Drosophila melanogaster: one gene and its partners. The protein of the gene in region 2 interacts with the protein of the main gene of each other region in a pairwise test. Each region holds a gene or a part of one and is shown on either strand. Other genes may lie near its edges.

Evidence for each region. Proteins that work in one complex are often made in the same cells at the same time.
Region 1: the proteins of fend (region 2) and Unr interact in a two-hybrid assay, tested with the Drosophila melanogaster proteins (one large-scale study listed by BioGRID).
Region 3: the proteins of fend (region 2) and BomBc3 interact in a two-hybrid assay, tested with the Drosophila melanogaster proteins (one large-scale study listed by BioGRID).

Annotation. Positions count from the first base shown.
Region 1 is NT_037436.4:8,437,947-8,445,189, forward strand, and holds the start of Unr (upstream of N-ras), read right to left. Parts: upstream 3,762-7,243; 5' UTR 284-3,761; coding exon 247-283; intron 110-246; coding exon 1-109. Other genes in the region: CG6983 (uncharacterized protein), read right to left, coding at 6,101-6,606. UniProt on the Drosophila melanogaster protein: RNA-binding protein that acts as a regulator of dosage compensation in both males and females.
Region 2 is NC_004354.4:9,131,148-9,138,583, reverse strand, and holds the start of fend (forked end), read left to right. Parts: upstream 1-3,484; 5' UTR 3,485-4,380; coding exon 4,381-4,644; intron 4,645-7,436. UniProt on the Drosophila melanogaster protein: Involved in the normal targeting of ventral muscle, muscle 12, by motoneurons. May function as an axon guidance molecule involved in neuromuscular specificity.
Region 3 is NT_033777.3:22,083,532-22,089,762, reverse strand, and holds BomBc3 (bomanin bicipital 3), read right to left. Parts: upstream 2,581-6,231; 5' UTR 2,561-2,580; coding exon 2,503-2,560; intron 2,446-2,502; coding exon 2,404-2,445; intron 2,335-2,403; coding exon 2,138-2,334; 3' UTR 1,262-2,137; downstream 1-1,261. Other genes in the region: BomT3 (bomanin tailed 3), read left to right, coding at 3,440-3,530, 3,898-4,160.

The sequences.
Region 1 (7,243 bases), on a different chromosome or scaffold from region 2:
GTAGAGTCAAGTGTAAATGTTCCAATGGTCGGAAACGTTGTTGGGATTCCCAGGTTGCGAATGGCATTCATGTTGAAATAACTATCGCATGGCAAGTTGTCATAGATTTCTACAGCATTGCAGGGGAAATAAAATCAAACATTATAAGGACTAAAATAACAACATGCCAAATAGTTTAACATGCCAATAGTTTAAAACAAGGACTTATATAAACTAGATTAATAAGAGACCCAATTTCGGACTTACCTTCGCCGGTACGGTACACCTTCGATTGGGTATTCATGTTTGATTGATTGATTGATTGGATATTAACAAACAAAGAAAATGCTGATAAGGACTAGCAAATTGGAGACTGGTTCTTGGCGATGGTGATTGCGATGTAAGAGGTGTTATCGGATGGTCAGTGGTTTAATCCGATTTACCAATAATGGATGCGAATGACGAGAATTATTGGAACGAGAGTTAAAGTTGAAGAAAGCGCGAAAAATGACCGAAAACAGATTTCGTGATATCACTTCTGTTAAATTTTGTTTTTATGTTTTTTTTTTCTTTTTTTTATATTTTTCGTGTAGTTTTATATCAAAGAGAAAAAACTAAGCAATAAATACGTATTTGTTTTTTATTTGTTGTTTGTTTTGTTTTTTGTGTATATATATTTTGGCTAAACACTGGCACAAGAGGCACTGAAATTCCTTGTCTTCGAAGTTAATAAAAATTTTTGTCTTTTCTTGAGGGCATTCCCCGCAAAAAATGTGGTTGTTTTACTTAGCTTTCCTTTGCTGTTGTTGGTTTGTTTGTTTGTTGGTTTTTTGTGTTCCTTGTTGTTTTGTGTTTTTATATTTCTTGTAAAAAATGCCGACAAATATTGTAACGTTGTTGGTTTGTTTTGGTAGTTTGAAGTTCCTTCCTGGGTCTGTTGTAGGTTGTATTTCTTTTTAAAGTTGTTGTTCTTGAAATATTTTTTTTGTTTGTTTTGTGTATTCAAAATATTGTGGTTTTACGATGAAAATGCACACCAGCTCTGCTGCCGTTGGTGTTTTTATTTTTGTTCGAGTTTTGAATTATTATTGAATTATTGCATTTTGTTTGAAATGAATTTGGTTGATTTTTTTTTATATTTTTACTTTAGTTTTACTAGAAAAATACACTGGGAATACTTTTTACTTTTGGGTTAGATTAGCTTTGTTTGATATTTGAATATTTTGTGTGTTTTGCTTGATTATATTGGTTTCTATTTAGTATACATATATATAATATATATTTTGTAGGCAATCGTTGTGGTTTATAGGAAGTAGTAGTGATTTTTTATTTACTTTCGAATACCTTTAGTACAACGATGATTTTTGGGGGACGAGGTTTAAATCTCCTTCTTCCTCTTCTCGGGACTTCCGTTTCCGGTTCCTCGCTCACTCTCTCTCTGTATCTTTCTTTCTTTCTGTGTCGATTTCCTATTTTGTTTCGCTGTACGTTGCTATTACTTTTCGGTTGCACGATTTGTATAATTTGTTTTTTCTTTTTTGTTGTTTTGTTGCTGTTTTATTGCTGTTTCATTTACTATTCACTAAGCAAAAATTATGAGTTTTAATGTTTTTTTGTTTTTGTTTTTATATATGTATATAATAGATATAGGACACCCGTTATGTAAAGTTATCCTCGCTCATTTACTATGTTGAACTTTAAGTCTACGATTTATTTTGTTTTGTTTAAATATATATATTTTTTGAATGCGTTTTGAAGTCTTTTCATAACCTAGGGTTTTTATTTTTTGCTTTGTGTTGGTTGGTTTTGTTGTTTATTCACTTATTCCATTGTTTTGTTTTTGTTTTCTCGGTTGACGCTCACTAGATTTAAGCTTAGTTTAATAGTTTATATAATATAATATATAATATACTATAGTATATATGTATCGAAGTCCTTTAAGATATCACGAATTTGTTTCAATGTTTTTTATCTTTTCATTTGCATTTGCTCTTAAGTGTAAAGTTGTTGTTGGTTTAAGATGTTTTTCTGCTTTCTGCTTCCTCTTTCGCTCCTTCTTCTTCTTCGCCTACTGTTAAAAATGACGGGGTTTTCCTTTCATTTAATTAGAGATTTTTTTGTGGTTTTTCTTTAGGTTTTTGTTTTTTTTTTTTCTTTAAATTTATAAATTTACAGTAATTATCACAGAGTTGTTAAATCTTTCTTTGAATTTGTTTTGTTTTTCTTTTCTCCGTTTTACTTCCGTTTGTTGCAGTTGCTTTTGCTGTTTTAGACTTTTAACATTTCTCACTAGGTACACTTATAAAAAAATCTGAATTGAAAACTAGTAAAAAACAATGTTTTATTGGAAAAAATAAAAACTGTTTTTTTGGCACAAGGCCGCAGTTTTGAATTTGTTATGCGTTCTCTATATATATTGGCTTAATCCGTTTATTTTTTTTTCACTAATTTATTGTTTTAATTAAATTTATTGGCTAAGTTCAATTGCTGGTGTTGTTGTTGTAGGTCTGTGTAAAACGTGACTTAAAACTTATAGAATTCTTGTAGATTTTTGGTTTTAAATGTTTTCTTTATTGTTACCGTTATTTTTTTAGTATATATTTTTTATTCACACTTTTTTTGCGGCACAATTGTTGCTTGATCGGTTTTATTCAGCTCTCCTCGCTTCTCCTCCATTTATCGCTCTGTCTCCCACTTCCCTTTCGCCCTTGTGGGCGTTTATCAGTTGTTTTTGGACTTAAATTCTAGCAGTGTTTGTTTTTATGTTTAGTTAAATAATTTAGATTGATGTTGCGTTTTAAATTAAATCGTTTTTAATATGTTTAAATTATTTGTTGTTGATTTACTCCCGGTTATTTTGTACTTTAAAACATTAATTCAGTTGTTTGTTGGTTGTTGTTTGTTTGTTGTTGTTGCTGCTTTTGTAGCTCGGTTGTTGATGTCTTAATTTAAATTAATTAGCAAATTGAATTCACTCTGACTTAACAACAAAAAATTCGTAATTAAATTAAAGCTTTTCAGGAAAAATAATGAGGAATTTGGGATTTATTTAGCGTTTTTCCAAGTGTAGGTTTTGCGGTTTTGCTTGAATTGTTTTTGTTTTATTCGAGAGTCCGAACGCCGCAGCGCCGTTGCCTTTGACTTCACGTTAGTTTCGTTTCCCGTTGCTTTTTTGTTTTCAGTGCTTTTGCCGTTTTCTTGTTAAACTCCGCTTTACTTGCTCCTTCGTGGTTTGCCTTTTATTTTGTTTTAGCTTTTCTTTTTGTTTATTTATTTGTTGGTGCTTTTGAGTATTGACGAGTTAATTTCACAGCGTTTCAATTTGTTTGGTTTGTTGTTGGTTTTGTTGTTGTTTTATTTGAAAGTCTTCGTTTCAAGCTTGGCTTGTTTTTTATGTTGTTTGTTGTTTTGTTTTCTTTTTTTATTTGCGCAGTCGCTTTATCTCCCTCTCTGTCTGTCTCGCTCACACCGACGGGCGGCGTAAAAATTCTCGTTTTTTCTGTTTTGTGTGTTTTTCTTTGCAAAGCAAACGAAACAAAAACAAAGAAGAGTCCAAAAAACTTAAAAAGTTTTTGCTTTGACTTTTTCCTTTTGAGCTATGTTGTTGTTGTTTTTTATTTCTGCTGTAACTTTCAATTATTTGCGATTTATATTTGTATGTATTATTTTTTGATTCGTTTTCGATGGTGATTTTTTTATTTTTTTATCATATTTGTTGTTGTTTTTTTATATTATTATTATTTTTTCAGATTATGATGAAAGTGATGTCAAAACGGAGTTTTAGTTACAAAAGCTGTTGAATGAGAAAAAGAGAAAGGTGGAAACGATTAAGAAAAATTAATACATCTTTTTTATTATTTCTTTTATTTTTGGCTAGTGAAATCTACACCGAAAGTCTTGCTGCAGTTTTATCGATTTTTCAGTGTTGCAAATGGAGAGATTTTTGCCTGCCGGAAAAAATTGCACACACACTGGCGCAACCTACTACGCACACACACATGCACGCCCATACACACGCACACGCAATTGCAATCGTAAACTATTTTTACACATTATTGTTGTGGTTTTTAGCGTAAAATTAGCAACCCCGCAGACTGCACACACACATGCACAGTCACCGAAGTGCCAAGTTGGTAGCAAAAAAACGAATTTTCATCAACTTTTTTTTCGGGCTGCAAATTTGGTACCCTCAAACGCACACACACACACACAGAAGCGTAGAAAATCTGGCTGGGCAACGAAAAAACGTTAATTCGCCATTTAAAAACTAATTTCCCTAACACATTTCATATTTTTCCATCACAGCTTTGTTCGCGGCACATTTTCTGCATATTTTCGTTCCGAATTTGAGTTAAATAATAGTCCTATTTGAAGCGAACGAGAATTTTCTGGACCAGCCACACGTACCACACGACAGCACAACAACTGCTAGCGGGCGCCATATTTGCCGACAGCACGATGGCAGTGTTGGAAGGTGTGCGAAGAGAGGGACAATTGTGACGTCAGTGGTCATGGGAGTAGGAGCAGGGATCTCTTAGCTTTTCTATTCCTATATTTAAATAATCAAAACTTATCTAAGATAACGATTTAACTTTAATTCAGTTAAAGGGACTATCTTTAATGCAATGTCTAAAAGTAGTAGAAGTGCAGGGTTATACATCTATGTCATTTTCTATGCTATCACTGCAAATTATAAAATATGAATTGTATGTGACTTTTATGTAATATTCTTAGTTTTAATAATAAACAAAAGCAATTTATGTAATTAAATGGATTATTACTAAGAAAATTACATCTAAATATTTAATTTTAAACTGTACGTATTCGAGACAAGAACCATCGCTAGCTATTTCTAACTTAAGCCAACCCCAAAATCTTTTCGCCTTTTATTAAGCGGCAATATATTGATTTAAAAAATGAAACTAGTTTTATTTGTTCTGATAAATAAATATGGAAGATATGTTATTATCTTTGTAAAATTGGAATTCCCCCAAAAATGCAGAAGTGTATTCACTTAGTTTAATTCTTAATTTTCGGAAGTTCTGTCACATAAAACATAAAACACAAAAAATCCCTTTTTTAGATTCCTTTTAGCAGCCCACAGAAAATCACATTAGTTTTACGTCTTCCTGGGTCTTTTAACGAATTTTATTTCAGCAGCTCCTTGGTTGCTTAATCCATAATTAACTTAAATGGTATTTTGCATGATAATGGGATCCAATACATATGTATGCTGATAAATTGATTATCCTTGAACAGATTTTTAAAGATTACAATTTACAAAATCTAGTTAATTGGTTACGGTGCCTTTTATACATTCGACAGTGCAAAATGTTATCAACATGAATAGATTATCAAAACGCCCTCGCTAAATATAAATCTCGGGCTAATTGTAGTTAAAAAGATTTAATATCATGTTTATAATTTTTACGTTACGAGCACTTCGATTTGGTCACACATTAAATTGCATCTGGTTTTGCATATTTTAGGGTTATTTAATTGCCTGGATTGCGTTACATTTCTATACACATTTGCAAAAGGTCCAAAGTTTGGTCTCTGTGTTGTTCTAGGGATATATTTCAAACATATATTTTTGTGACAATATTTGTTGTGTATGGTGCAGTTTATATGGAATATAAATAAATACGTCTTTATGTATGTACAGCGAAATTTTAAAATTTTAAAAACCCGTTTAGCTATAGGCTATTAAAACTGTCCATTGCTTAAAAGGGCATGAAATTTCCTCAGCTTACATGGCTTTAATACATTTCAATATTCATTTGAAGACAAACTGTTTAACATTTTAATCTTAGTGGCAAAATCAAGAATTTGGGACATAACACGGTCTTGAATATCAATAAAAATGTCAAGTATATTTGGCAGTTCGCCCACTCACGTGTAACACAAACACGTACACGATTATTTTACAAATGTTAAGTACACGAAGCAAAAGTGAAACCGAAATCTAAATGTAAATGCTCAATGAATTTACGTACACGATAACTTGTAGGTAATAACTAATGTTACATATTATTCTCTTCTCTTTCACTTAAGAACTATGCAGATATTTGCAATTAACTAAGAAAACAAGTTGCGGCAAGGCGAGAATTGGGTTGCCATCTTAGGGCTTGCTGTCGAAGCCAGCGAAATCCGACGCCTCCGACTCATCGTCATCCCTCTCGACGCCGATGCAATGGATTCCAGTCCGCAGCATAGGAGTACCCTTGCCCTTGCCCAACACCCGAGCGGCTATGACCAGCTGTAGCAGCTCCTTGGCGTTCGATGAGCTGACAATGTGCAGGACCTCGCGCAACAGCTTCTCCTTGTAGGCAAAGAACTCGATTTTCATTTCGAAAAAGTCGTGCTCATCATGCTTGGTGCCCTCGAACTCCGTGATCCTGCAGTGCAAGCTCGGCGTGGCGCTAATCACCGGCTCAAATTTGCTGGCCAGCGTCTTGGCATCGCCGAATAGCGACGTCGGCAGCTTCAGTTCGATCAGATAGCGATGCCTGATCTGCAGAAAGCCCAGGCTCACCACAATCGTGTCACCAGACCTTTGGTATGTCACACAGCTGTCCGATTCGAAGTCATCCTTCACCGTGTTCGTGTCGAAGTGCACATGGTGGTCTTGAAAAAAGAAAAGTGGATGTTAGATTTGGTTAAAAAAAAAACAATAAGTATAAATCTATAAATATAAATCTATGCATACATCTAAGGACTGGTGGTTCTATAGTTGTGCATGGTTGGAAAGTAATACATTTTAATTACATTTAGAGTTTCAAAGTAAGGCTCTAGCTACTATGTATAAATTAATTATATAAACCTTTACTTCATGTTTTTCAGTCGTATCTGGAATTTCACAAGCCATCTTTAAGCCTGACCTTTTACTAGTTACGCAGTTTCCCTGATGTTTGCATGTTTGCAAATTGTAAATTTGCACAGACTTTAATTGAGAATCTTATTTGTTAAATAATGATAAATTGTGTGTCCGCGGAGCCTAAGGTCAGCCAGGTAGACAGGTAAAATCGAGTGAAATTACCCTAGTAAGTAAAATATTCCAAATATTCCGAGATAAACAAACAAGCAAGCAAACAGAAGTCTCGGGCCCGCCTCAAGTAAATTCCCATTCCCTTCAGCGGCATTTGCAGCGGAAATTGCGTGTAAGCGTGTAATTAAACGCCCCTACCACTTCCTCCCTTCCTTACACAGTGAGAAAAATAGCAGTGATTTGAGAACTAATATAATTGGTATTATATATCATTGA
Region 2 (7,436 bases):
TACCAATACTAACTATCTATATCTTTTTTTGACGGACTGTGTAAAATTAATTTTTGGCCAAATTTTCGCATTTTTTGTAAGGGGTAACATCATCAAAATTTGCAAAAAATGGCCAAAAAATAAAATTTCCATTTTTGAACACAGTTTGATTGGAAATTTAATTACGAGCTCAACGATGTATGGCATTCCATGATTGGGCCATTATTTAAAATGTTCTGATTAAAAAACTGATAATTTTTTACAGAAAAAAAACAGACGATCGATTTTTTGCAAAAAGTCAATATTTCCGATTCGTTTTTTCGGTATAATTCGGCTAAAAATGGTCAGAAAGCTCAGAGATAAATATTTTTTTACTCGTAATTACCAATACTAACTATCTATATCTTTTTTTGACGGACTGTGTAAAATTAATTTTTGGCCAAATTTTCGCATTTTTTGTAAGGGGTAACATCATCAAAATTTGCAAAAAATGGCCAAAAAATAAAATTTCCATTTTTGAACACAGTTTGATTGGAAATTTAATTACGAGCTCAACGATGTATGGCATTCCATGATTGGGCCATTATTTAAAATGTTCTGATTAAAAAACTGATAATTTTTTACAGAAAAAAGACAGACGATCGATTTTTTGCAAAAAGTCAATATTTCCGATTCGTTTTTTCGGTATAACTTGGCTAAAAATTGTCAGAAAGCTCAGAGATAAATATTTTTTGTACTCGTAATTACCAATACTAACTATCTATATCTTTTTTTGACGGACTGTGTAAAATTAATTTTTGGCCAAATTTTCGCATTTTTTGTAAGGGGTAACATCATCAAAATTTGCAAAAAATGGCCAAAAAATAAAATTTCCATTTTTGAACATAGTTTGATGGGAAATTTAATTACGAACTCAACGAGGTATGGCATTCCATGATTTGGCCATTATTTAAAATGTTCTGATTAAAAAACGGATAAATTTTTACATAAAAAAGATAGACGATCGATTTTTTGCAAAAAGTCAATATTTCCGATTCGTTTTTTCTGTATAACAAGTGTACATAGTTTTCATCGAATACATTATACCTTTTAAGGTAAAGGGTATCAGGTATATGTAACTACAACTAGTTCAATGCGGGATTGTGTGAAGCATTGCTTTTACACTGCAAAAATATTTAGAAAGAAGTTATGTATGTGGAAACTGGTTGTGCAAATGCTAAGTGAAGTACAAAAAGCTTCAGCATATTAATTCAAAACTAATTTTTTTGGAAATCCTGTCGAGTTCTACCTTTTATATAAAATGAGAAAATTGATTGCTAATGCATACGATTTTTTTTCGGTGCAGTCAGCTGACTGCTTGTTCTTCCCTAATTACCTTCTCTCTGGCGATCATTTCGACAGTTCACCGTAATGTTGCGACAGGGCTAACGGTTTTTTTCGCGTTCTCGTTGCGGCCCTTTTTATTTATTGGCTGGCAACAACAAAAACCGCAAAATGAAAATGGAAATTCGAAGAGCGGCGGAATGAAATGGAAAATGGTCGTGTGGTGGGAAAGTCAAAGTGGGCGGGGTGGTGGGGTTAGAGGGGAGTTGCGGGGGTTTAAGTAAACGGGAGTTTGTACCAAAAAGTTGAGCACTGCAAATGGCTCGCCATGGGCGCATAAATTTCCAAGCCACCTTGTCTGTTTTTTTGTTTATTTATTATTTTGTTTTTTTTTGTATGCTTTCTGTCGCTATGGTGGGTTGCTGCTTTCTTTGCAGGCATTTCTTTTCATATTTTTTTTTAGTTTTATTTGTATTTTCTTTTTTGGCAATTTCCAACATGCAACATGTTGCACTGGAGTCAAGCCGAAACCCAAAACTTTTCCCGGGACTCCCGAAAAAGAAAAAAAGTTGGGCAAAAAATGTTTTTTCGCCTCGCTTCCACTTCCACTTCCTCTTCACGTTTTCGTTTAAACAGTGCAACATCGTACACTCATTTAAACCAAAACATATATTTACTTTTCAGTTTTCAATATTCAGAATTTCAAAAATTCTGAATAGCTTTTTTCTGAAAATATGCTGCAGAAGCCTCTTGTTGAATATCCTTTTCGATTTTCAAATTTGCAGATATCCAAGTTGGACTGTACTTTTTAGGTTTTTTAATATTTTTTTTTGAGAACGGGTTCTTCTCTAGCTTTATTAACGTTTTTGGTGTTGCTGGGGGATGGGTCCGGGGAAGGGGAGGGTTGATAGTAGGGGGTTTTGATATTGTTTGCTGGCAGGCAGCGCAGTCTGTAATATTTTTGCCGCATAAAAGTCAAAATATGCAAATAAACTTGAAGTAGGGACGAGTACTGGAATGGTGGGATTGGGGGCAAAGTGGAAAACGGGTGGGGCGGCTAATACGGTGAAACAGACATAGGAAAACAGACTAATACAATGGGCAGCCGGCTGGAAGGGGGCGGGGTCTGCACTCTGCAGAGGCAGCGCGGCTTAAATAATAAATGTAGTACACGCTTTGAAAGAATTTACTATACTTTGGCAAATGGAGGTTATAAAAACCTACACACACACACGCACACACACACACGCAGGGCTGTCCGGGGTCTGGTGTCCGTACTGTCCGTATTGTCCGTTGTCTGGAGTTCGGGGACCGTGGTCAGGAGTCCTTGGTCCTTAGTCCGGGATGCGGATTCAGTGTGTAGCCGCCGATTTTATGATGTTTTTGAGTAGCGGTGAGTTGCGGATCTCCAGGGTGGGTATAAATAAACAATGCCCCTATAAGGTGGTCAATAGGGGGTTAAGGGTAGCGGCATTTCATATTGTTGCTATAATCAGCGGCCGCTTTGATTCATCTGCATGTCCGCAGTGGCGGACGATGAAGTGGAGTGTAGTGGAGTGGAGAGAGCAGAACCTTTGGTTTTGGCTTTATGCTCTGCCACCCCAGAATCATCAAAGAGCTAACCCGGGAGCCAGCTCCCCAGCCCCAGTCCAATCCAACCCAAGAGGCCGAGCCCAAGGCAACCGATTGCAACCTTAGCCCCACGAAAGCCAAGCCCGAACACCACCCCTACCCATTCAACCAACAACAACAACAAGAACACAAAACACCCAAAGTGGGTACTCCACACAGACTCCACTTGCAACCTGTCCAGTTCCAGTTCCGAGCATGTTCGCTGCTCGAGTTCGATGGTCGGGGTCTAATAGGAATGCTCGAGAACTAGGCCAAAAGCTAGCTAGATAGATGTCTTCTACCAGCTAAACTGAAATGAAATATTTAATTTCCCTAACAGTTGAAGTATTTCTTCAATATATAGTAATACTGCATGTTATCAACATCTTATATATTTATATTTATGTAAGGAAGAAAGCAACAAAACAAACTCTGAGTACTCGCATTTATCCAATATTTTGGGTCAGCAGGACTCGCCCTTCGCCATTCAAGCCAAATCTAGCTATAGCTAACTGGGCTGCTCGCACTGCAGTAGTTGTTGCCGCTTGTTGTAGTTGCCAGCGATGTTGCAGTTGTTGCTTTTATCTCTGTTTCGAATTCGGTTCTCGCGTGCTCTCTGTTTTCGTTGGTTTCGTTCAGAGCAGCATTAACCCTCGACGGCGACGCTCGTTTTTCGGTTGTTCGGCTCCTGAAATCGAAATTGTAATTTCGCACAGCGTATACATTAGATTTTTCATCCTTTACGTGTCGCGCGTGTGCTATTCTTGTTATTGTCCCGTCGTCGCCTTTTTTTTCGTGTGTATACTTAACAAAATCGTTACAAATAAGCATTTTTTTCACGTTTGTTACTGTTACATCTGCTTGGTAATTAAAAGCACAAAAGTCAAAGCAAATAAAGCACGTTAAAGAGAACACCGAAAAAAGAATAACAATAACAAATACAAATACAAGTAAGCTAGCTTGTTGTTGGTGTCGCGCAGCATGTGGAGTTACAGTTAACTGTAACAGTTAACGGACAGCAAAGCGGCAGGCGGAGAAAGAGGTGTGTAGGAGCAGTGGGAGAAGCACAAGGAGCAGCCGAAGCGAAAAGAGAGGTAGAGAGTAGGATTTACAGCTTCTTCGCTTCACTAAATGCAGTCGACGCTGCGATTATTATGTGCCAGCTCCAATAACAACAAACGCAGCAGCAGCAAAAAACCGCCGCAGCAGCAGCAGCAACAACAACAACAACAGCACCACCACTTGATACGAAAATAAACAAACAAAATCAATCAATTAATCAATCTGCTGAGCACACCGCTCTCCACGCCCACACACACACGCGCAACAACACAGGCACAACAACAACACACACGAGTGCAAGTCAACGCCCACGCCCATTGGAGAAAAAGGAGGGAGTGGCAGGACGACAACAAGCAAAGGAGTCGTTGGAGAAAGGAGGAGGCGAACCACGAGGACGAAGACAACATGTTCCACTCACTTGTTTTGATGGCCTGCGCCCTTGCCGCCCTCTCCGTCGCCCAGGGGGCGGGGTCCGCTCGATCCAAATCGCTGCCGTTATCGCTATCGCTATCGGTATCGGTATCCTCGTCATTGGCATCGGCATCCAGTCCAGGAGCTGCTGCTGACCCAACAGCCGCCTTCACCGTCACCGCGACCGCCCCCACCCCCGCAAGTGCTCCCTTTGCCGGCAAACAGCTAAACAGATGCCGTCAAAGTTGCTATCAGCAGGTAAGAATCCAAGTGAATACATATAACTAAGAATCCCAATTGAAGCAACAGAAACTCCAGACTCAGACTCGTTACTCGCACTGAGAACTCCGGGAACCCGAGATAAGACCTCGGATCGGATCGGATCGGATCGTATCGGATCCGTTTCGAACCCAATTCGTTTGATGGACAGTTGTATGCCCAGTTGAGGGGCCATATAACCGATAGGGCATTCGCTGTGTACACAGCGAAAAATAATATATGGCTGATATAAAGTCGGAGGATCGCTGTAGATTATGGATTGGCAAGTGCAGATTAGAGAACAGCTGGATTTCGAATAATATACGAATGGTTTTCAGGGGTGATAGCCCAATTTGAATATGGTACATGGAATATGTATGTTACATAATATGTGAATACCCACATATGAAACTTACAGTTTTCAAATCTTTATGTAACTACAGCTTTGCTTTCCATTCAACCCTTGATTCATATGTACATACATGTACATATGCATGCACACATCATTGACTTCTCTATGTAGACATGTATCTTCAAATTCTCATGTTAATTAACAATCCGTGAATTTGCATGTTTCGGTTATTTTTCATTTCCTTAAAATCGTATTTACGGGCGGCATCTGGTTTTCCTAATTTATTCATAGTTTCGAAACCGCATTCTCCAAAAATGGCCGAACGAGGCGAACGAGAATAGGGTTGGAAGAACTTCCTTGGACTTTTTGATCCATGTAAAATTTACTTTTGCCCTAATAACTTGCCCAAGATTCAGGGGCTTAAGATTCAAATACTTCACTGGAAACGCTCGAGTAAAATAGTTTTCCCAACACACAGGCACATTTCCCCCGTCACTTTTCAAGTGCATCGCTGTGCCGTCAGGTTCTTCAGCTAATGCGATTAAGATTGCCCTAATTGAGGTCGAATGTCGAATTGGCCTCCGGCTACCCGCCCCGTTTTTTCTCGCCGTGTAGGGAACAGTTGTGCCCTGGACGACACCGACCTTCGAGGTTCGGAGACGCGGACACAGAGACGTCGATGACAATGACAATGGGGTTCGGTTTTCGGGACCTGAACAACTGGAGGACTGAAAGACCTGAGGAACTCGAGAAGGCGACGTCATTTTTTATGGCCGCTCGCTGGGTCTTTTATCTTTTATCTACGGGTTGACATCGCAGCTATTGCCGCTGCTGCTTCTGTTGCCGGTTATTATTGCTGTTGTTGTTGTTGTTGTTGTCGCTTACCCTACCGCTTACCGCTCAGGTGGTCACCAGTCACCGCCGGTCGCTAGAAAGATGTCAACTGGGTGGTCGAGCATCGCTAATAGAGATCGGGAATTCAATTTGATCCGTCCATAGACAATGGCTACAAAAAAAAAAAAGACCAAAATAAATGAACAGAGCGGACATATAAAAGCCCGACAATCCCGCGCAGGAATAAAAGCTCTCGGATCGAATTTGTACAAAGCTGTCACAGATGGATGGACAGAAGTTGAGCTGAAAGGGAACCCCTTTACCTTTACCTCTTTCCGAAAATAGAGAGAGAGCAGGTGGGCAGAACAAAGGTCTCTGAAGAAGTAGAGGCAGCCAAAGGAAATACAGAAGACGAAACTTTGAGAAATCACCGCGAAAAATCTGAAACAATTGAGAAGGGGAATCCAAATGGGAATAACTTATGGCCAAGTGTTGTGCAGTGACTTTGGATTAAATACTCTATCATTTACAAAATTAGTCTTGGAAAAGGCCCACTTATCAGTTTTAAGCCAAAATAAGCCTCGAAAGCAAATGGAAATTTCCAATTAATTGAACTCACCGCAATTTCGAGGCTGGCAAGCTTGCTAAGAGCAAATAAATACACAAAACTAAAGACCCAACTAATCAATATGAATAACAAAGTTTTCCCACCAACAAATCCAAGTTGAAACTACAATCGTGTCGAACTGAATCAGAGAACTCACACCACCACCGAGAAATTTCAAAATGTAGTACGCTGAGTTGACACTTTCTTTTGTTTTTTCCCCTAAAAACAAACTTTGGATCCCCGGGGATTGGGTTTTCCCTCCGCTCCGCTGCATGTAACTGATCCCCAGCGAAATAATTTCGTATATGTATTTGTCTCCCCGATGTACGAGTATTGAAATCAAGACGCAGCGCAGAAGTAGAAGTTTCCCAAAATGATTTTACACCACCCAAGCAACCAGTTGATTTCTAAATGCGTGACTTCCTGGAACCGCGCTGATCTGTCAGCGATATCGGAAACAGAGGATGGAGTTGGGCTGACAACTGTGGACGGTTAATAAATTTCAATCAAATGAAATCAAATGAAATCAAATTTTCATATCGATTCGGTACGAGGAACTCCCCGCCAAGTGCACATGCATAAATCAAGTGGGAAAAACACAAGAGTATAAATATCATCTCCGATTTCCAAGTAAGTCGAGCTCTCTGCGGCTACACGGCATGGGACTTAGATTGGAATTGGAATTGGAGTTGGAATTGGAATTGGAATTGGGTTTTCCATTCGAGTGGGGCAAGCAATGCAGCAAGGCAACCGAGAAACCGACAAACTGATATACCGAACCGGGCAGAACGAGGCAGTCAACCCAATTGACTCCATGAGGAGTGCTCATGAGTGCTGTGGCGACACTTACAATGAAACATGGTCTGAAACTCGAGAGGCCAAAGACACTCGGACCGGACCGTCTGGGGGCACTCGAGATCGTTCTAGGGAAACGCTACAATGCCACATCCAGTACGACCAAGTCCAAATATAGAGCCAAAGTTTATTGATTTAATGCGA
Region 3 (6,231 bases), on a different chromosome or scaffold from region 2:
AAATTAATTCATTTAATTGAAGTATAGAATAGTCGTATCCCTTAGCAACACACACAAAATACCTTAAATTTCACAATCAACCAAAGCTATTTCACGTGTCTCATTTGTAAGGATGACTTCGCAGAAACTGATGCTTTTCTCCGCATAATTCCAGCACTTATCGCATTTTCGTTAATTATACGCTTTCAGCAAAGTCGGAATTCCAATTTCGATGGTGGGAAAAGGAATAATCCTGTCGATAATGAAGTGCTGGGTACATGGAATTTAATTTATTTATTAATATCTTCTGGCGCCCCAAAAGGAGGCAGTAAACAGAAGAGCGACTTTATACAAGCATTGGCGAGTTGGGGGTAAAATATAATAATTAAAGCTATGTAAATTTGCTATGCGGCCGGGATTTTCAAATAAAGCTCAACCAGTGGCAGATATAAGAGTTTCCAAGCACGTGACAATATTACCAAAGGCGCTGCCCCCAGGGCAAACAACATTGGTGTACAAATAAATCAATTCTGCCTTCTGGCAAAACACTGCGGGGGCGAAACAGAAAAAAGTTAAAATTTATTTGAAAAGCGTGAAGGAGATGGCCACTGCTGCCACAAGTCCGATCGGCTCACCTTTCACCTGCCCCAGAAATTCCCCTCTAATGCCGCACAAATTAGGCACAAGAGAACAGAAATTGACCTGAAATCAAATACAAGTCAACATAAATTCAATTTCGAACATTCCCCAGCTCAAGGTCCTTAAGTTGCTAGGCAGATAAACCACCCTGTTCTGGACTAGGACTGAGTTCCTCAGCTTCATGGGGCTTCTAAAGTTGCGTGTAAACAATTTGTGACCCAAAAAGATAGGAAACGACACATTTCTGCCAATAAAGTGTATTAAAAGTAAATCAGAGAAAGTGTATCGAAACCCTTTACGATTGGTATGGTTATGCCACCCAAATGTTCATTGAATTTTAAGCCAGTCGAGCGTTTTTCTGAATTTAGCACATCCGCAAGGGCAGTCCATTGATTTCAATGCATTGTATTTTTTTTTAATTGCAAATAAAGCTTAGGTTTTTATTCTTGGATGTCCGGGAATCAATACTATTCTCTTAAGTTATACGCTTAAATCAAAATTGTATGATTGTTAAGTAATCCTTTTACAATTTTAATTGTTTTCGCATGCTAAGCCTGAATGAAACTTTTCCCTTCTTATTCTGTATATAAAAACACAGCATCAGTTTTATTCGAAACTTCTGCACAAAATATTCTTGGGAAGTGTGTGTGTGTGTGTGTGTGTGTGTATGCACTAAGTGTTTACTGTTTGTCGAGTAGTTAGTTTCAAAGCAAATATTTGAGAGGCTTCTGTTTGCCGTTCCTGCAGTAGCATTACGTATACGCCACGTGGCACGCGCAACCTTAAGCACCCTTACATCAGGCCAGCGTTTTCATTGACAACACATCCACTGGCGTAAATTGCACGGTTGGTTACTCGCATTTGATTATCGATGCTGTGCAATACTCTGGAGACAGCGACGTCAGCTCCCAGCCCAGTTTATGTGGCAACTAGCTGAAGTTCAAACAATCGATGCCATTGGCAGCACGAATTTCTCTATTTTTCCGTCACAAAATCCGTGGGTCTTCCCTTATTTGCAGACTGTTTTGAAACCAAGGCTTTTGAAAATGTAACGCTTTTGTATCACTTATTTTTGAGAAGGATGAGAGAAGCCAATGTTCACAAACAGACAGCTCGCAGTGCACGCAATGAGGTACTGGAAATCGTTAAAAAAAATTCTTATTTTAAATGTGAAAAATTTGATTTTCAGGACTGAATATTTCGACCAAAAGCAATTATAACATTCTTCACGCTTTTTTCGCAGCATAAAATAACTCGGATGTTTCATGTTTCTCCACGTGTACTTCGTGGTAACAAAAACTGAATATAAAACGCTCATTTTTCCATTTTTTGCCTCCATCAGATGATGCCCTCTGCACTCGAAACCATCACATTCATCGAATTTGCAGAGAGACTGGGTTGAACGATTGTCAATGCTTTTAGCTAAATGATGTTGTACATAGCCAAGTGTAAGTATGAAATGGATTGATCGATATGTGCGCAATTTTAATTCAATATTCAGACTTTATTGTTTAAGCCTTTAATAGGGATCCACGTTGCAGTGCTGACATCTGCCATTGACGATGGTATTACCACCCCTCCGGTAAATGGTGCCACCTCCACCGCCACTACCGTCATTTCCACGGGAAATGACCACATTACCATCGCCAGGGGATGAGGAGAAGCTGCGGTACTGCTGGCCATCCAGGTAGACGGGTTCACCATTCGGATTGGGACCTTTTCGAGTGCATATTATTATTCATTAAGTTGTCCAATTGCCTAGCTGGCAAAACAATCGCAACTTACAAGTCAGACAGACGCCATTCACCACCACTGTGCTGGGATGAGCTGGAAATAATTTCAGTGTGTATCAATTAGCGTCAGCAGCAATCCCGTCCAGCTTACCGCCGATCAGAGTCGGAATTAAAGCCAACGGGAGCAGCACACACGTCAGGTACTTCATATTAAAGCCGATAGATAGATGACCGTATCGACTCTCACGCTACTTATATAGTCCGGCACTTGATTCGATCCGAATCAAAATCGATTTGCATAAGCCTAAGCGTTTGGAGCTTTCGATTTGTATTTGAACAATATATTTAAATTAATTTCACACTAGAACACTATCAAATCGCAATTCGATGGGGTTTTCCGCACACGGTTTTGTGGCATCAGGTCGACGTAGTTGATTTCCTTGAACTTCTTCAAAGAAACTTATGACAGTCACGCCCCGAAAAGTCGGTTTACAATTATTCCCAGACGTAAACATGAATGGCAAGCGATTCCAGAGAATCGCACACCATTAAATTTTATCCATACATCTAAGGAAAACTGGTTACAGAACCGAAAGTCGTGACTCGTGAGTGAAATGTAGAAGCTTTAGTTCTAAAGCTAACAATTTATATTTAAATAATAAGATACTTAATACAATGAAAAAGCAAAAAATATATTTGAAAACAAATACATTTCATTAAAAATAAATCTTTGCAACTTTGTAGAAATGAAAAGTGTCTGACTTATTATAGATTTTACAGATTTTGTGTATTTGTTATGTTAAAAAGGTAACGTAGAGTATCTTGAATGCAATACGACTGACCAACTGATGCGCTACAGATTGTTTTTGAAACCCATCCGCGGGCAATTCCCTGAGATTAATACTTAATACATACGTAGTGGTTTGTTTGCACAGCAATAGTTCTTTGCAGCGATAAGGTCTGTTTGGGTTTGAATTCGAATTCAAATTCAGTATCGGAATCGGAATCGATGAGTGCATCGTATATAAGCTGCTGTTGCGGTTCGTACCTGGTCCAGACCAGTTCGACGTTCTAATAGACCAGCCACAATGAGAACCTTGACGGCATTTGCGATTATCGCTTTTTTTGCACTGGCTCTAACGGAGGCGGCTGTTTACATCGGTGGCGGTTGCTACGACTGTAAGTCAATGCCTATTAATTTGGGCCATTTATTCAAAAATTGTTCAACGATTTTCGTCGCTGCCACATCAGGCATAGTTTAAAAGGAAATTTTGTGTTTTCATTAGCGAAAGTTTGAATGAACAATCAATTTGTTATTATATTATGGTATTTCTTGGCAACGAAAGTCATTAAGTGATTATTAACGATACTCTAAACATTTGTTATTGGTTAAGTTTATGAATAATATAATTCCGAACACTTAGCTTTAAGCTTTTAATTTCTATAGCGCATAGTACATTTGCTGGCTTGCGTAAAAAATGCAGTAGCTAGCGCGCAATTAAGTAACTACTACTCCTCAAGAAACTGATTTAAATATCACTATTAGGTAATCCACCCGGAGGCCAAGGACCTGGAGTCTACACAGGTGGCAACGGAGGACGAGGAGGAGGAGGTGGATACAACGCAGGCGGAGGCGGTGGAGGATACTACAACGGCGGCGGAGGTGGAGGAGGTGGCCGTCGTCCAGTATATTCGGGCAACTTTGGACCCGGCTATGGTAACGGCGGAGGAGGAGGTGGAGGAGGCTACGGAGGCGGCGGTGGAGGTGGCTACGATGATGGCGGTCTTACGCAGATTATAAGCGGCTGAGATTATAATCTCGAAGCTTTGCTAGCGCTAAGCGCGAAGAGCAAGCATCGTCTGAAACTTAGATTATATAGACTTAAATAAAAAAAATATATATTTTATCAGCGGTGACTACTTTTATATACTTACAGAATGAGCTTTTGTTAGGTTTTGTTAAAGGTTAAAAACAAGTCCCTCTGTTAAAGTAAAACTAGTGAATAAACTTATCAAATACTCAGCTAACGCTACTAATAAATGGCATGCCACCTATAGCTTCTAAAAATAATATCCTTAATTCCTGTGCATTTTATAATTGGTATTCATTGTAATTCAGTTCAGACACGTATAAATGAGTAGCAACTGTTCAAGAGTGATGATTAATATACCCTTAAAGCCATAAAACCGACTGTGCTGTTCGGTTGAAGGAGTCAAAGTCCTGCAAAGGAAATAATTCATAAGCTCTTCAAAGTTTCAGCCATCCTGCTTGTCAGTCTTAATTAAAGGACTTGCCCTGGCTAAATATGCAAGGGCATCGAATTTCCAAAAAGTTGAACCAAAAGAACCGCTCGGTGAATCCACAAGCACTTAATTGATACAATTACAAGTTCGATTTTTGTTCGTTCGGCGAGCTTTTGGTGAGCTAAGCTGAAGCAAATGAACCGGAATCAAATTAAGGGTCATTAAGTATAATTATCGGTATCATAGCATGCATTTTGTTAAACAGTTTTCAAGGACTTCCTTTCTTTAAGTTGGTTCTTTTGCATTTAAGAAAAGGTTGCGTGCACGCTTAAAAATAGTACATTTCGTGGATATATGTTTAGTTAAGACTCTTGCAGCACATGTATAATTACACATTCGAAACGAAAATAACCATTTCAAAGTAGATACGCTTAAAGATTACTTTATTTATAGCCTGTGCAATCAGTAGTTTTAGAATGAGTAGTTTTAGTAGTAGTAGTAGTTTTAGAAGTAGAATGCGCACATCGAAAATCTTCAGTGTCAGTAAAGTAGCTTCGGGTTTTCAGTGGAAGAAGTAGCACATTGGGCTTAGATTAATTTTCTAAGAAAATCATGCTTTTATTAAATATATACCCATTAAACATTGATATTAGTATATATTCATGGGAGAAATAGTAATTTGGTAATAATTTATTTGCTGAATACACATGTATAAAAATGTTCATTCTTTTTCCAATGAATACATTTCCTTTCGTTTAGGCTCAAAGGAAGTGTTGCTCAGGATTACCTCCTTGTCGATGTCAGGGCTCGCAGTGTGGGTTCTCTCCAGGATGTGGGCAATCTAAAGATGTTGCCCAAAGCATTAAGCCTCCTGAAAAATTAATATTTGCAGTGCACTTCATAAAAACTGTTTTTTTTTCCCCCCGCTAATATGAAAAGATTTCGCCTTGCCAAGCACTTTTTCAATTAGACACTTACAAAGAAGCACCACAAGTTAGGTGCAAAATTCGCTGCTGCATGCAACAGCAATTGAGATTCGCAGTGACGGGTCCTTGGGGCAGGTAATGGTTGCAGAGCCATTAGCGTTCAATTTCCATGCTGCAAGGTAAAAACTAAGCGAGCTGCAAAATTAACCTGAAACAGCCACCCACTTTCTATGCGAACACGAGCCGCTCTTAGAACGGCGAACTTTATGTTCTATATGGCAAAGTTTGTTGCAATACGATGATGCATAGCGGGCGAAAATTAAAAATGGCATTAAATATATAACAAACTTTTAGGCTGTTGGTCTGATTCTCTAGTTATTAGTTTTCTATGATCTAAGTAAATTATGATTTATTACGCGTCAGTATTAGACTAGTTACTTAATTTACTACGTAAACCTTTTAATATTTGAGAAAATCCATTTATATTTTCCTTTCTGCTTTTGGAAAAGAAACAATATATAACATTGTTCCATTTGAAGCTTGAGTTGAATTTTCATTTCAAGAGTTACTGCGTCAGGTGTTTGCTGGGTTATTGAAATACTTTGCATTACTCGTACTGCATCTGTGTGCCACCTTTGATATTCGGTGTCAGAAGAATTCTTATGCAAAATAGAATTTTTGTGGCCAACCAGGACTAGTTCAAGCACTGA